3 linked regions of the Saccharomyces cerevisiae S288C genome follow. The gene in region 3 interacts genetically with the main gene of each other region. Each region holds a gene or a part of one and is shown on either strand. Other genes may lie near its edges.

Evidence for each region. A genetic interaction does not mean that the proteins touch.
Region 1: mutations in PRS5 (region 3) and OCA6 together harm fitness more than expected from each alone (negative genetic interaction), as found in Saccharomyces cerevisiae (2 studies listed by BioGRID).
Region 2: mutations in PRS5 (region 3) and OCA2 together harm fitness more than expected from each alone (negative genetic interaction), as found in Saccharomyces cerevisiae (2 studies listed by BioGRID).

The regions. Positions count from the first base shown.
Region 1 is NC_001136.10:582,291-585,738, reverse strand, and holds OCA6 (protein-tyrosine-phosphatase), read left to right. Parts: upstream 1-2,273; coding exon 2,274-2,948; downstream 2,949-3,448. Other genes in the region: ubiquitin-specific protease DOA4, read left to right, coding at 1-800; DOS2 (Dos2p), read right to left, coding at 1,094-2,026; RTR2 (putative protein-serine/threonine phosphatase), read left to right, coding at 3,241-3,448.
Region 2 is NC_001146.8:515,092-518,342, forward strand, and holds OCA2 (Oca2p), read left to right. Parts: upstream 1-2,157; coding exon 2,158-2,751; downstream 2,752-3,251. Other genes in the region: YNL058C (uncharacterized protein), read right to left, coding at 672-1,622; porin POR1, read right to left, coding at 2,903-3,251. UniProt on the Saccharomyces cerevisiae protein: Required for normal growth in the presence of linoleic acid hydroperoxide (LoaOOH).
Region 3 is NC_001147.6:209,126-214,917, forward strand, and holds PRS5 (ribose phosphate diphosphokinase subunit PRS5), read left to right. Parts: upstream 1-3,118; coding exon 3,119-4,609; downstream 4,610-5,792. Other genes in the region: CRT10 (Crt10p), read right to left, coding at 1-1,140; APM4 (Apm4p), read right to left, coding at 1,395-2,870; MAM3 (Mam3p), read right to left, coding at 4,892-5,792.

The DNA of each region.
Region 1 (3,448 bases), on a different chromosome or scaffold from region 3:
AGTTTTGCCAATTCCTTCTAGATGGTCTTCATGAAGACTTGAACCAATGCGGTTCAAACCCACCTTTGAAGGAGCTTTCTCAAGAAGCTGAGGCGAGAAGAGAAAAACTGTCTTTGCGAATTGCCTCGTCAATTGAGTGGGAACGATTCTTGACTACTGATTTCAGTGTTATTGTCGACTTATTTCAGGGACAATACGCCTCACGACTAAAATGTAAAGTCTGTAGTCATACCTCGACAACATACCAACCTTTTACGGTGCTGTCAATCCCTATTCCTAAAAAAAATTCCCGAAATAATATTACCATTGAAGATTGTTTCAGAGAGTTCACCAAATGTGAGAACTTGGAAGTGGATGAGCAATGGTTGTGCCCACATTGTGAAAAAAGGCAGCCCTCCACGAAACAATTGACAATAACGAGATTACCGAGGAATCTGATAGTCCATTTAAAGAGATTTGATAATTTATTAAACAAAAATAATGACTTCGTCATATACCCTTTTTTGTTGGACTTGACTCCATTTTGGGCCAATGATTTTGACGGGGTTTTTCCTCCAGGTGTTAATGACGATGAACTACCAATAAGGGGACAAATACCACCTTTTAAGTATGAATTATATGGTGTAGCATGCCACTTTGGTACTTTGTATGGTGGTCATTATACAGCCTATGTGAAAAAGGGATTAAAGAAGGGATGGCTATATTTTGATGATACCAAATATAAACCTGTCAAAAACAAAGCCGATGCAATTAACTCTAATGCATACGTTTTGTTTTATCACCGCGTCTACGGTGTTTGATTCATTTGAATAAATAACTGAAAACCGTTGTCTATACACTTTTTTTCCCGTTCAACATGGCATATCATTATTTCCATCTAAGGTCAAAGTAAAAAACCCTAAATACAAATGATTTATTTTAACGGTAACAAACGAACTTTTTTTTAGAAGGTGTAAAGATGAGATCACGCCCAGATTTTGTCTTCCTCCTGTGCATCTCTTGGATTGATGATTTTCCTTTCTACCATAATACGTCATGAAAAGTATGTAAATATTTATAGCATTACATATATCTTTTATATGAAAAAAATCACTCATTCCCAGTCATCATCGTCGTCGTCGTCCTTGCTCTCATCCTTGTTGGCGAGGCCAACATGGTCACTAACATCTTTCAATCCCTCTTGAGACACAGCAACTTTCGTCTCCCCTTTAGATTTGTTGTCAGCTACTGCTTCTACTTTGTCATCATCTTCTTCTTCTTCTTCGTCATCCCACTCAACTTCTTTTTCCTCCGTTTCCTTTTCCTTTTTGGACAATATTTCTTTCCTTTTACTTTCTTTATCTAGAATTTTGTTTCTTTGTAAGAAATAGATGTGCCAGAAATCTTTATAGCTGATTTTATGGGGTACGATGTCGTTCATTAATTTGGAGATATCTTTGTCGCCCTGTAAAATAGAACATATCTCCTCAGTTTTTTCATCCACGTCAAACGGGTCCAGTTGCAAATCCATTTTATTGTCTAAATAAACCGATTTATCTTTAGATAATGTCCTTAGTTCGGCTTCTGTTCTATTTCCACCCACAGCAATTTCATTTTCTTTCGAATTCTCATCCTTGTCATTAGAGTCATTTTCTGCAGCATTATCGAAGCTACTGAAGCCAGACCAAAAATTCTTAGTTTTCATTTTGCTCCAATATGACTGGGCTAGACTTTCCACGCTGTGAATATTCTCGTCTAGTTTCTTCAAATACTTTTGTGCAGTCTCTGTAGTTTCATTGCTAATTGGCAAGTTAATTTCAATTCCGTCATCTTTCTCGATTACTAACTTTTTGAATGCACTTGTAGTCTTTTCATATCGTTTATTGACTTCCTCTTCTAACTTTTGGAAGGCCTCATTTGTTTTGTCATCTCGGCTCTGAAGTTCGTTATTTTCAGTGTTTTCTGTTGATCCAGTTTCCTTGGTATGAGAGTTGCTTATTTTATCATCTTCGATACAAGCTACTTGTTCTTCATAAAAGAATTCCATTTTATCCTAAAACGTCGAAGCAATGGAGCTCACTAGCTGTACCCTTATGTTGTGTTCTTTTTTTGTTGCATGACTTCTGCTAAGTGCTTTTTATCATTAATCACCGCTATTTGATGTAAGGCCAAAAAAAATGCGAAAGAAAAAAAGAGACTCTGTTAAGAAGGAAAGGAGTACCAATATAAACTATGGGTTCACAATTGCTATGAATACCCAGTTCACACATCTAGAATAAGCTATATGTATCAAAATGACACTAGTGACTCCGTTACAATTTTCGACTGTACAGCCAAATTTATATAGAGGATCTTACCCACGAGAAATCAATCTCCCATTCCTGAGAACCCTTAGATTGAAATACATATTATCTTTGACACCAGAACCTTTGAGCACTGATCCTCTAATGGTAAAGTTTTGTGAAGAAAATAACATTAAGACAATTCATATAAAATGTCAAAGTGAAAGAAAGGCAGACAAGACCAAACCCAAGATTAAAAGGAAAAAGAAAACAGTTCCTATTGAATACGATGTTGTAGTACGATGCGTTAAATTTCTGATTGATAAAGGGCATTACCCCTGTTATATGCACTGTACGAATGGTGAATTGATAATATCTCTCGTAGTAGCATGTATGAGAAAGTTTTCATATTGGAGTACGGTATCCATACTAAATGAGTTTTTGGTGTATAATTCCAGCATCAATATTCATGAAAGAAATTTCATTGAAAACTTTAACTCTGAAATCGAAGTTGACGATCTGGATATAAAGGATAAAGTTCCCTGGATTACCGTGCGATATATTGCAAGGACAGCCACAGAATCAAAAGATGAGTTGCGTGTTGATGATGCTAATGCGTCTGAAAAAGTTGCAAGAGTAAGTAGCGTGTCAAATTCTTTGCCAAAACTAAAATTTCATAGTATGTAAAATTCAGGGATAAATTCATATAATATTTTGTAAAGACAGAAGCTTCAGGGTTAAGTCTTAGCCGGGCCCTCCAGCATTGATAATCATTTTTTTCAATATCAAATGCCATTGAAAAGTCCAACGAAAATTACATCGACTTTACAAAAGAGACGAGCCGGTCACATTCTAGTATTGGCGAAGATTGGAAGCCATTTATCAACAGCAAGGAGGCATTCTGGAAAAATTGCAGCATATTTAAGAAAAGTGATAGGTTTATTTTTATACTAGAAGGACAGGAGCAACGCAAGCCATAATGCAGATAATAACCACTACGTTCATTCAAAAAGTAATTTTAGGATCACACCAATTACATGAGCAATTATCTATAGTGGAAGCCCGAATGATTGAATCTGCCATAGTTTCAATGCTCACAGAATCATTTTGCGAAAATGAGCAGACATTAAAATACTTAGCACGGCTACTTTCACCGATGTCTTATATGGATGTTATTAATGCAAGAA
Region 2 (3,251 bases), on a different chromosome or scaffold from region 3:
AACGCTAATTATAGTTGAGAATTTACAACGATGTAAGTCGCACTAAGCCAAGAACTTCTTTCGATGATTGTCATTGCTCTTAGCAAACTGTTCATTGTGAGTTTTGTTACTTGCTGAAAATTACATCGGTCAAGACCCTTCTATATTGTCACCTTCCATTTATGAAGACAGCACTTCAAGGCAAAAGTGTTTAATATTTATACGCGGATCATGATTGCTTAGCTCCTTCTTTAACTCAGTACTTGTGGTTAGAATTTTGTAGATACCTGCACACATTTTGGTAGCAGCTGTGTCGGTGTTTCATGAGGATCGGAAAGATATGTACGGAAAGATCACATGTATATATTTAACAAAGAATGCATAATTCGCCTTGTTGATGGTTACGACCAGATCAGATAAAGTAGTTCAAAGATCACAACAGAATTTTATCTTTCCAATTACCATTCAGAAAAATTTTTTATCTCTTGGAGGGTTATTTTCGGGCCTTTCAAGAATATGATAAAGATATATCTTGGCAGATGTACTGATGATTACTGGTGCGTTAGAACCGTATGGCCTTGAAAAGAATAAAAGCAAACATCGATTTTTTTGGTACTGAATTACACAATTTTTAAGGACTAAAAAAAAAAATGTTTAACCTGAACAACCATGTATCTTAGATGTCAGGGTATCTAGATTATTTCTCTACCATTCAGGACATCATCCAAAAACATCGATGGCGCCTGTCTTTTATGAGCCTTTTTAGGAGAGCTAGTATTTGAGGTAGCAGAAGCGACTGGTATGAGGCCCAAGGAGGATTGGTTTCTCTTATGGTAGCCTTCCATTGAGTTAATTTTCTTTTCCTTTCTTTCAGGTGACGCTGCTCTTTGTGGTCTATTGAGGTTCAGCTTTCTCTCTTCTTCTTCTTCTTCTTCTTCTTCTAGATAGGTACCTACGTATAAAAATGGATCGTCAATAAAAATGTTAGTGTCTTTTGATTGATGGCGGCTATGACTTTTTTCATATTGTGACACTTGTAAAGTAGGAGATATAAATAAGGATCTTCTGTTGTCTGTGAACGGATCCTGAATTGGGTTGAATGGTGAGGCAGCATCCTCGTATTGGCTAGATTCTAATTGGCTCATAGAATCCCAATCATCCTGCATATATGATTTCTCATCATTGATGTCAAAGGGATTGCTTTGTAAAGAAGAACTATGCTTGTGGTGTCCCCTGTACAAATTTTTACTATCATTTGCATAAGAATTTGTCATTGTGAAACGACGAGACAAATAACTGGACACTAACCACCATATAAGAATACTGATAAAAATGGCACCTATGACAGCACCCACAGCAATGTATACAGTTCCATTTGGTTTATCAGCAGCATTTAAAATAAATGGGTTTCCTGCTGTAGATGGGGGTGTTATACTTGCGACAATTAGTGATGAGGAGGATGTTGCTCCACTGGAAGTTGAGAAAGCCGAAGATGTTAACGATGGAAGGGACTTGGAACTCGTTTCGGACACTACACTTGACGTGGGCTTTGACAGGGCGGTTGAACTAGTTGTAGTAGTAACTAAAGTAGGAAGGTCTCTTCTGACCAGCGATACAGACGGGATAAAGTTTTTCTTAACCATCTCTGCCGATGTTTCTTTCTGAACTTTTGACAAGGTATGAGTCTAGTTGATTATAATACAAGAGTGTGGGTATGTTATTAATAAACATTATAAATTATTAACCCATATAGCTGCTAAATATAATTGAAAATCTAGTAATTTCTAATTATACATTTTTTTTTTTTACAAATGTTTTATGATATGTTTACTATTTCCCGCTTTAGGAAATCATATTAAGGGTTTCATGAAAGAATTCTGCAGAGTGATCATTGGAAATCGGCAGAAAGTGAGAAGGGAGGCTGTCACCAGGTTCCCCTATACTATTCATGTGAGTGGTAGCATGCAAAGTAAAGACCCTTTTTCATTTAGTGATTCATCCATGAATAGCTCTTGGTGCTAGCCCAGATTTTTCAGTAATTTTTGTTTTTTCTTCTGAATTTTCCAGAATTAAAAAAAAGATCAGAAAAAAGCGAGAGTTTACTTAAGATATTAAAGTCTAGTTGATATATCAACAAGTGAAGGCAAAATACCAATAGAGTGCACGTTTCTTGATGCTATGAAATACATACCCCCATTAAATTTTTCGCCAGTGGTGAGCACGGATGTATCGTTATATCGATCGGGATACCCGATGCCGTTAAATTATAGTTTCATCAAGCATCAGTTACACTTGAAGACCATAATATATATTGGCGATAAAGATAGGCCTCTCGAAGAATATCAAAGCTTCCTGGAGTCAGAAAAGATAAAATACTATCACATATTTATGGATTCAAGCCGCGATGAAGGAATTCAAGAAAGAATGAACCAGGTCTTGCACTTGGTGCTGGATGTCAGAAACTATCCCATCTTAGTGCATTCCAATAAGGGCAAGCACCGTGTTGGTGTAGTTGTGGGAATCATAAGAAAGTTGTTACAGGGATGGTCCACTGCAGGTATATGCCAAGAGTACGGGTTATTTTCTGGTGGGATGAAAGATGGAGTAGATTTGGAGTTTATCACAATGTTCGAAACCAATCTGAAAATACCGAGAAACGTTATCCCTGGCTTTGCTAAACACTGCTTGTATTTGAATGAGCTAGAGGCTGCGGAAGGAAGTGATGATGAGTCAGGAAGTGAGTCTATTCTCACTGCCAAGCAACCAATATGATTATGAGAACCAGCCGTTACAAAGAATATTTTCTGTCATTAATATATTTGTATAAATAAAACAACAAGTCTAAAGATCAAGTAGAAAAATGGAAACAAGAACGAGCACATATATGGTATATAGTGAACATATATATATTAGATATATACGTTCAAGCGTCGAAGGACAAAGACCAACCTAGCTTGTGAACAGGTTCAGACAACTTCAAAGCATCGAAAGAGGAACCGACACCCAGAGTGACGCCAGGTCTTAACAATTGCTTGTAAGCCAAAGTGACAATACCGGAATCGGACACCTTAGCCTTAACTTGGGAAGATGCATCAGGCAAATATCTAGTGGCGAATTCGATGTTGACATTGGAGTTAGGTAGTTTGCAGTTCATTGTAGCCTTAGCACCGACCTGTAAAAAGGCGTTGACGTTTTGGAAGAAGTCAACGGTAGTTATTTGCTCGTTGTTCAATGTAGCGCCCAAGGAGTAGTCTTTGGCGAAATAACTTAAA
Region 3 (5,792 bases):
TATAGAACAATAACTTAATGTAATATATCCAACAGAATCTTTTGAATTAGGAACAAAGTTAACACAAGGAACATTGTGAGATGAGGGAAGATCTAGAGGCCGAATGTACCGTCTTTCCTTCTTTACATCTTTATCGAATGCAAAGACTGTAACTCCAGGCTTGTTATGGCCAACAGCGATATATATGATGCCATTTATATCTATTACATCAACACTCCAACAAGATTCCTCTACTCTTAACACCATATATGGATCAACATTTATGTATCTTTCCCGGCTGTTATCTTTGCCTCCCAAGATATCCGAAGTAAATTTATTAAATATCTTAATAACTTTGTTGATTTCCCAGATATAAACGATTCCGTTGTCACCGCAAGCTAGTAGAAAATCTTGATGCATGAAGTTACAAATCTTCATAAAGTTGATAGAACATAGTTCAGGTATGCTGTTGAACTGTGTATCCTTAAATTTCACATATGATGAATTGCGGAAGTTTCTTACATCTCCGTCATCTGGTATTATCACGGGCAATAAGGCGTGACATATTTCTAATGACGAAACGTTCAATAGTATATCGAAATTATGAACTTCGACGCATTGACCGGCAGCCAGGAAGGAATAACTCCCATAAGTGACGAACAAATTGTTCTTGAACTGCAAACCACCATAAGCAAACCTATTTGTGTATTGAAAAGGTGCGAACTCTAGTGGTATCTCTTGAACAAGTAGTTTTTCGTCCTGTGGCAATAGTAATTCAGCTGGATTCAAAAGCCTTGATGGTCCCCAGACGGGTTCTAAGTTGGAAAATGCAGATTTAGTATCCTCCAAGAAGGCTTTCTTGAATGAGTAAGCAGGATTTGGGATTTTCCATGAAGAGTCATGTTCTTCTAGGTTGTGTAATCGTTCTTTAATAAACTCCACGGTTTTTGGATGAAACGAATTGCAACTGGAGTTTGGCCACTTGAGTTGATAATATTTCTTTAACGTTATTATCTCATTCGTTATATTCCAGCCACCAGACGCCAGAAATACTTCTGAGTCAAAGCACTCTCTTGTCGATACTGCCCTTTGTATGATGGCCCGAGACTTAAGCCACCTTGTAAAGAGATCATCATTTTCATTGGGAATCTGAGGGGGCATTATATTCAAAACCAAATTTTCAAGCCTAGAAGTACCAGTGCCTCTTGATTGCGCTGTTGATCTTCATTACTATGGTGTTTTTGGTGTCTTGTATGGTTTTTCCATGTTTTTTCCCTGTTTTCTTTTCAATGAAAAACTAAATTGCATGTCTCTCATAATAGAAAATATTCAATATTAACAAAATGTGCATTCTAAAGGAAATTACTATAAAAAATACAGGCATGATAAAAATATATGTACACAAAAATTACGGGCTAGTACCTCACCTCGTAAGAACCGGCTTTCGATATATATTTAATCCATTTTACAGCACGATGCTTACTGTCTTTTCCAGAAATGGTAAAGTATCGTACGACTAAGCCAGAATTACTGAACATCATGACCTCGAATTCCAGGGATATTGGAGGTCTTGTCCATTGTTGAAGATTCAATTGAGTAGTATCACTTGTGGACACAGTAACTGCACTTAAAGTGTTTTCCGTCAACCCATTGTACTTGTTGAACCTCCAAATCATTGCATTTTCTTCTGGCACAAACTTACAGTGGCCATTAGAGACACTTATCTTACAATCCACAGTGCTTGGTGGAACGGGTATATGTAGTACCACATCTTTGGCGGAAAGTTTTCCAGGAAATAAAGACTTCAATGTTATCCTGTAATCAATCTCGTTATCTCTTGTAGAATGTGTAACAATAGGTGTAACCTTGAACGGCAGGTTTATGTTATCTCGTACATGATATTTCATCAACTCCATCGAACCGTCTGGTGGGACGAATTCAATGATATGATTTCTGTTAAATTTGTCAAGTGAGACACATTCGTGAAACTTGCAATCTTCCAACAAAACACTACCGGCAGCAGCTTTGGGAATGAAGTTCTTGTTTCCAAAATCGCTGCCAGAGTGACGCTGCTGCTGTGCTAACCATTTCTTCTCGTCTTCGGACTGCATTCCCAAAGAATCATTCAATCCAAATCTACAAATAGGGGTCCCACTCAAGTGTGTGGTGATATCTATGGTGCCATCAACGTATGATTTCAAGATAGAACCATCCCTAGATACCAGAATGTTTATCCTCTCATTGACATACAAGAAAACTTCATCCTTCTTGTGTATTATCCCCTTGGGCCTCCAAGTGATCTTATTGTTATCATAGAAATCAGAAGTGGAGTCTCCTTGACCCAGGAAACTACTGCTTCTTTTTGTCAAAAATTTGGGAAAATGTAGTTCTCCTGCTGAAGAAGTAGGAGATGAAGAGGAAGATAATACATCATTTCCATCGGGACTATCTAACAATCCGCCCATATTTCTAACGGGTTTCACAGACATCTGCGCTATAACAGAGTTCAATTCAGTGTCAATTGGTATCCCATTTCCACCCAACATTATATCCAGCATCTCATGCACAATCATGAATTCCTCTTTCAAGGCCTCCTCTCTATCCAATCGATAAGCATTCATCACTGCATCAAGCTTATATAAGAACTCCCAGATCGCCGCACTATTAGCGTTGCTTCTCGTAATGGTTACCAACCACAAATTGTCACCATGCCTCGACCTGATGTGATGGAAAGTAGTTGAGCCCAGTGTCAAAACAGGCGATCTAACATCTAGATTATTGATCACTTGTACTCGGAAGATATCGGATATGGACCGCTTCAACGAGTTCTTGAAGAACTTGTTCAAGACAAGTTCACCTCTCGATGAGTATACCAGCACACCACTAATCATTGCTCACCATAACTCTATGTGATTCTTTTCTCCAACCGTTTATGAAAGGTTTCCACACTTTATCATCAAGTTCTCCTATACTAATCAATTAAGGAAAATATGGCTGTTACCCTTCGACCGCAGTTGAAAAAAATTTTCTATCAAATAATAAATGGCTACGATTAGCGAGAAGGGCTGGATGAGATGAGAGTAAGTTGGTCGAAAGTGACTTTGTTGGAGGTTGCTACGAGGCTAGGAACGCAGTCTGGATGTCAATGAGTAATATTGTTGTTTTTGGAGGGGACTCGCACCCCGAGTTAGTTACTAAGATCTGTGAAAATTTGGACATTCACCCATCGAAAGTAGAATTAGGGAAGTTTTCTAATGGGGAAACGAACATTGCTCTTCGCGAATCTGTTCGTGAAAAGGATGTATATATCATCCAGAGTGGTTGTGGCCAGGTGAACGACACGTTCATGCAGTTGCTGATTTTAATCAGTGCCTGCAAGTCCGCTTCTGCCTCGAGGGTTACAGCCGTAATGCCATATCTCTGCTACTCGAGACAGCCAGATATTCCATATACTGCCAAGGGTGCTCCCATAATTTCCAAGCCTAAAGAAAACTATACTTTTGAATCGCATCCAGGCACACCCGTGTCATCTTCTTTAATGACGCAAAGACCAGGTGCTGAGAGCTCGTTGAAGAGTTTGGATAGTGCAATACGATCAACTATCAACTTAGAAAATCCTCAACCTATCAGAACACCAAACAGCAGTGCTACGGCGAATAACAATTTCGACATCAAGAAGACGCTTTCTTTTTCAAGAATTCCTATGATTCCCGGTGGTAAGTTACAAAATACAAGCAATAGCACGGACGCTGGTGAATTGTTCAACGCTCAAAATGCAGGCTATAAGCTATGGGTAGTACAAGCCGGTACTTTGATTGCTCATTTGTTGAGTGCTGCAGGTGCTGACCATGTGATCACAATGGATTTGCACGATCCACAGTTCCCTGGGTTTTTTGACATTCCAGTGGATAATCTCTACTGTAAACCCATTGCACAAAACTACATCCAGCATCGCATTCCAGATTATCAGGATGCTGTGATCGTTTCTCCAGATGCTGGTGGTGCAAAGAGAGCTACGGCTATTGCAGACGCCTTGGAATTGTCCTTCGCCCTAATTCATAAAGAAAGAAGATCTCAGTTATTGAAGGGCCCTCCAGATGCGACGTTAACCTCTGGTGGTTCGTTACCAGTATCTCCAAGGCCATTAGTTACTACTTTGGTTTCCTCCCAAAATACTACTTCTTCAGGTGCCACTGGGGTTGCGGCCCTTGAAATGAAGAAAACAACTTCAACATCTTCCACCTCGTCGCAATCTTCTAATTCGTCCAAGTTCGTTCAAACTACCATGCTTGTTGGCGATGTTAGAAACAAGGTGTGTATTATAGTCGACGACTTGGTGGATACTTCATACACTATTACAAGAGCTGCGAAATTGTTGAAGGATCAAGGATCTACCAAAGTTTATGCCTTAATAACGCACGGTGTTTTTTCCGGTGATGCGCTAGAAAGAATCGGCCAAAGTAGTATAGATAAGTTGATCATTTCTAACACGGTTCCTCAAGATAGAACACTACAGTACCTAGGTAAGGACAGAGTGGATGTTATTGATGTCTCCTGCATAATCGGTGAAGCAATTAGAAGAATCCATAACGGTGAATCCATTTCTATGTTGTTCGAGCATGGATGGTAGTGGCATTGATGTGTTCATTTTTTTATTGATAAAAATAGGGGAAAGTGTCTATATATTTTGCGTATAAAATTCTCTACATTTTTTTTTCTTTGTTTAGTATGTGTATTGAAACATTTTATTTATAGGTTAGAGAAACAAAAAAAAAAAAACTGCAATTTCTTCTTGTATGTCTGTAGAAAAAATTTTAAGCTGCTCTCCCCTGTGATTTCATGCGTCTGGGACTAATAAGAACGGTGATGATGGTTATTATGATGCATGGGCAATTCTTTTGGCATAATCTCTTCATCTTTTTATGGTCGACGAGGAGCCGTTGGCATCATAATTGGAAGTTCTTGACAAAGAGTCGGTGAAATTAGAACGATCATTGTTGTTAGCGTTTTCGTTCTTAAATTTATTCTTAATACTGGAAAATAAACTTGCATTTGAACTTGAACTTTCTCTATCGTCACTTCGATTAGAATTCTCTTGATTGATATTCTCGTTTCCATATTCACTTTTGGATTCGTCCCAATCTTTTGCGGGGCCAATGATGGTTTTTGGAACACCTTTGACTGTGATGACAGATTCCACAATACCATTCTTCGTATTTTGGTAAGAGGTTGAGATTGTAACGTTTTGATTTTCGTTGCCGTGATTCGCGCCAGAATTTGGAATTGATATACTATCAGGGCTATTTCTCGTGGTTTTAGTCGAGGTAGTAACTTGAGTTGGTTGACCCGACCGTTGAGTATGGAGAACAGCTTGGCGAGATAGCTCTGCATGATCACTTAATAGTTGTTGTTCTTCGGCGGAGAGTGATTTATCATTTGAGTGTGGTGCTGGAGAAGGCTCTTTGCTAGAATGAGGAGTGTGTGTAGTAATGATTTTCGGAACATTGGCAGGCTTTTTAATGGTAACAAAAGATTTATTTACGTTCAACGGGTTGGACGCTAGATTTGAAGGTATGATGGTGCCATGTTCCGTCACTTGTGGAGTTGGAGACAATACAGCGTTGGACCTGTCGTAACCATCATTTGACTTCTGCTTCCAAGACTTATTATTCAAATCTTGCTGTGGGTGCTCGGATGGGTGATTAGAATTGGATGGAGACAAGAGTGGAGACGATTCATCAGCTTGGTCAGCAGCTTTGTGCTCCTTGTGAGAGCTAGTGTACAAATGATGCAAATAGGAAGTAATGTGCCTT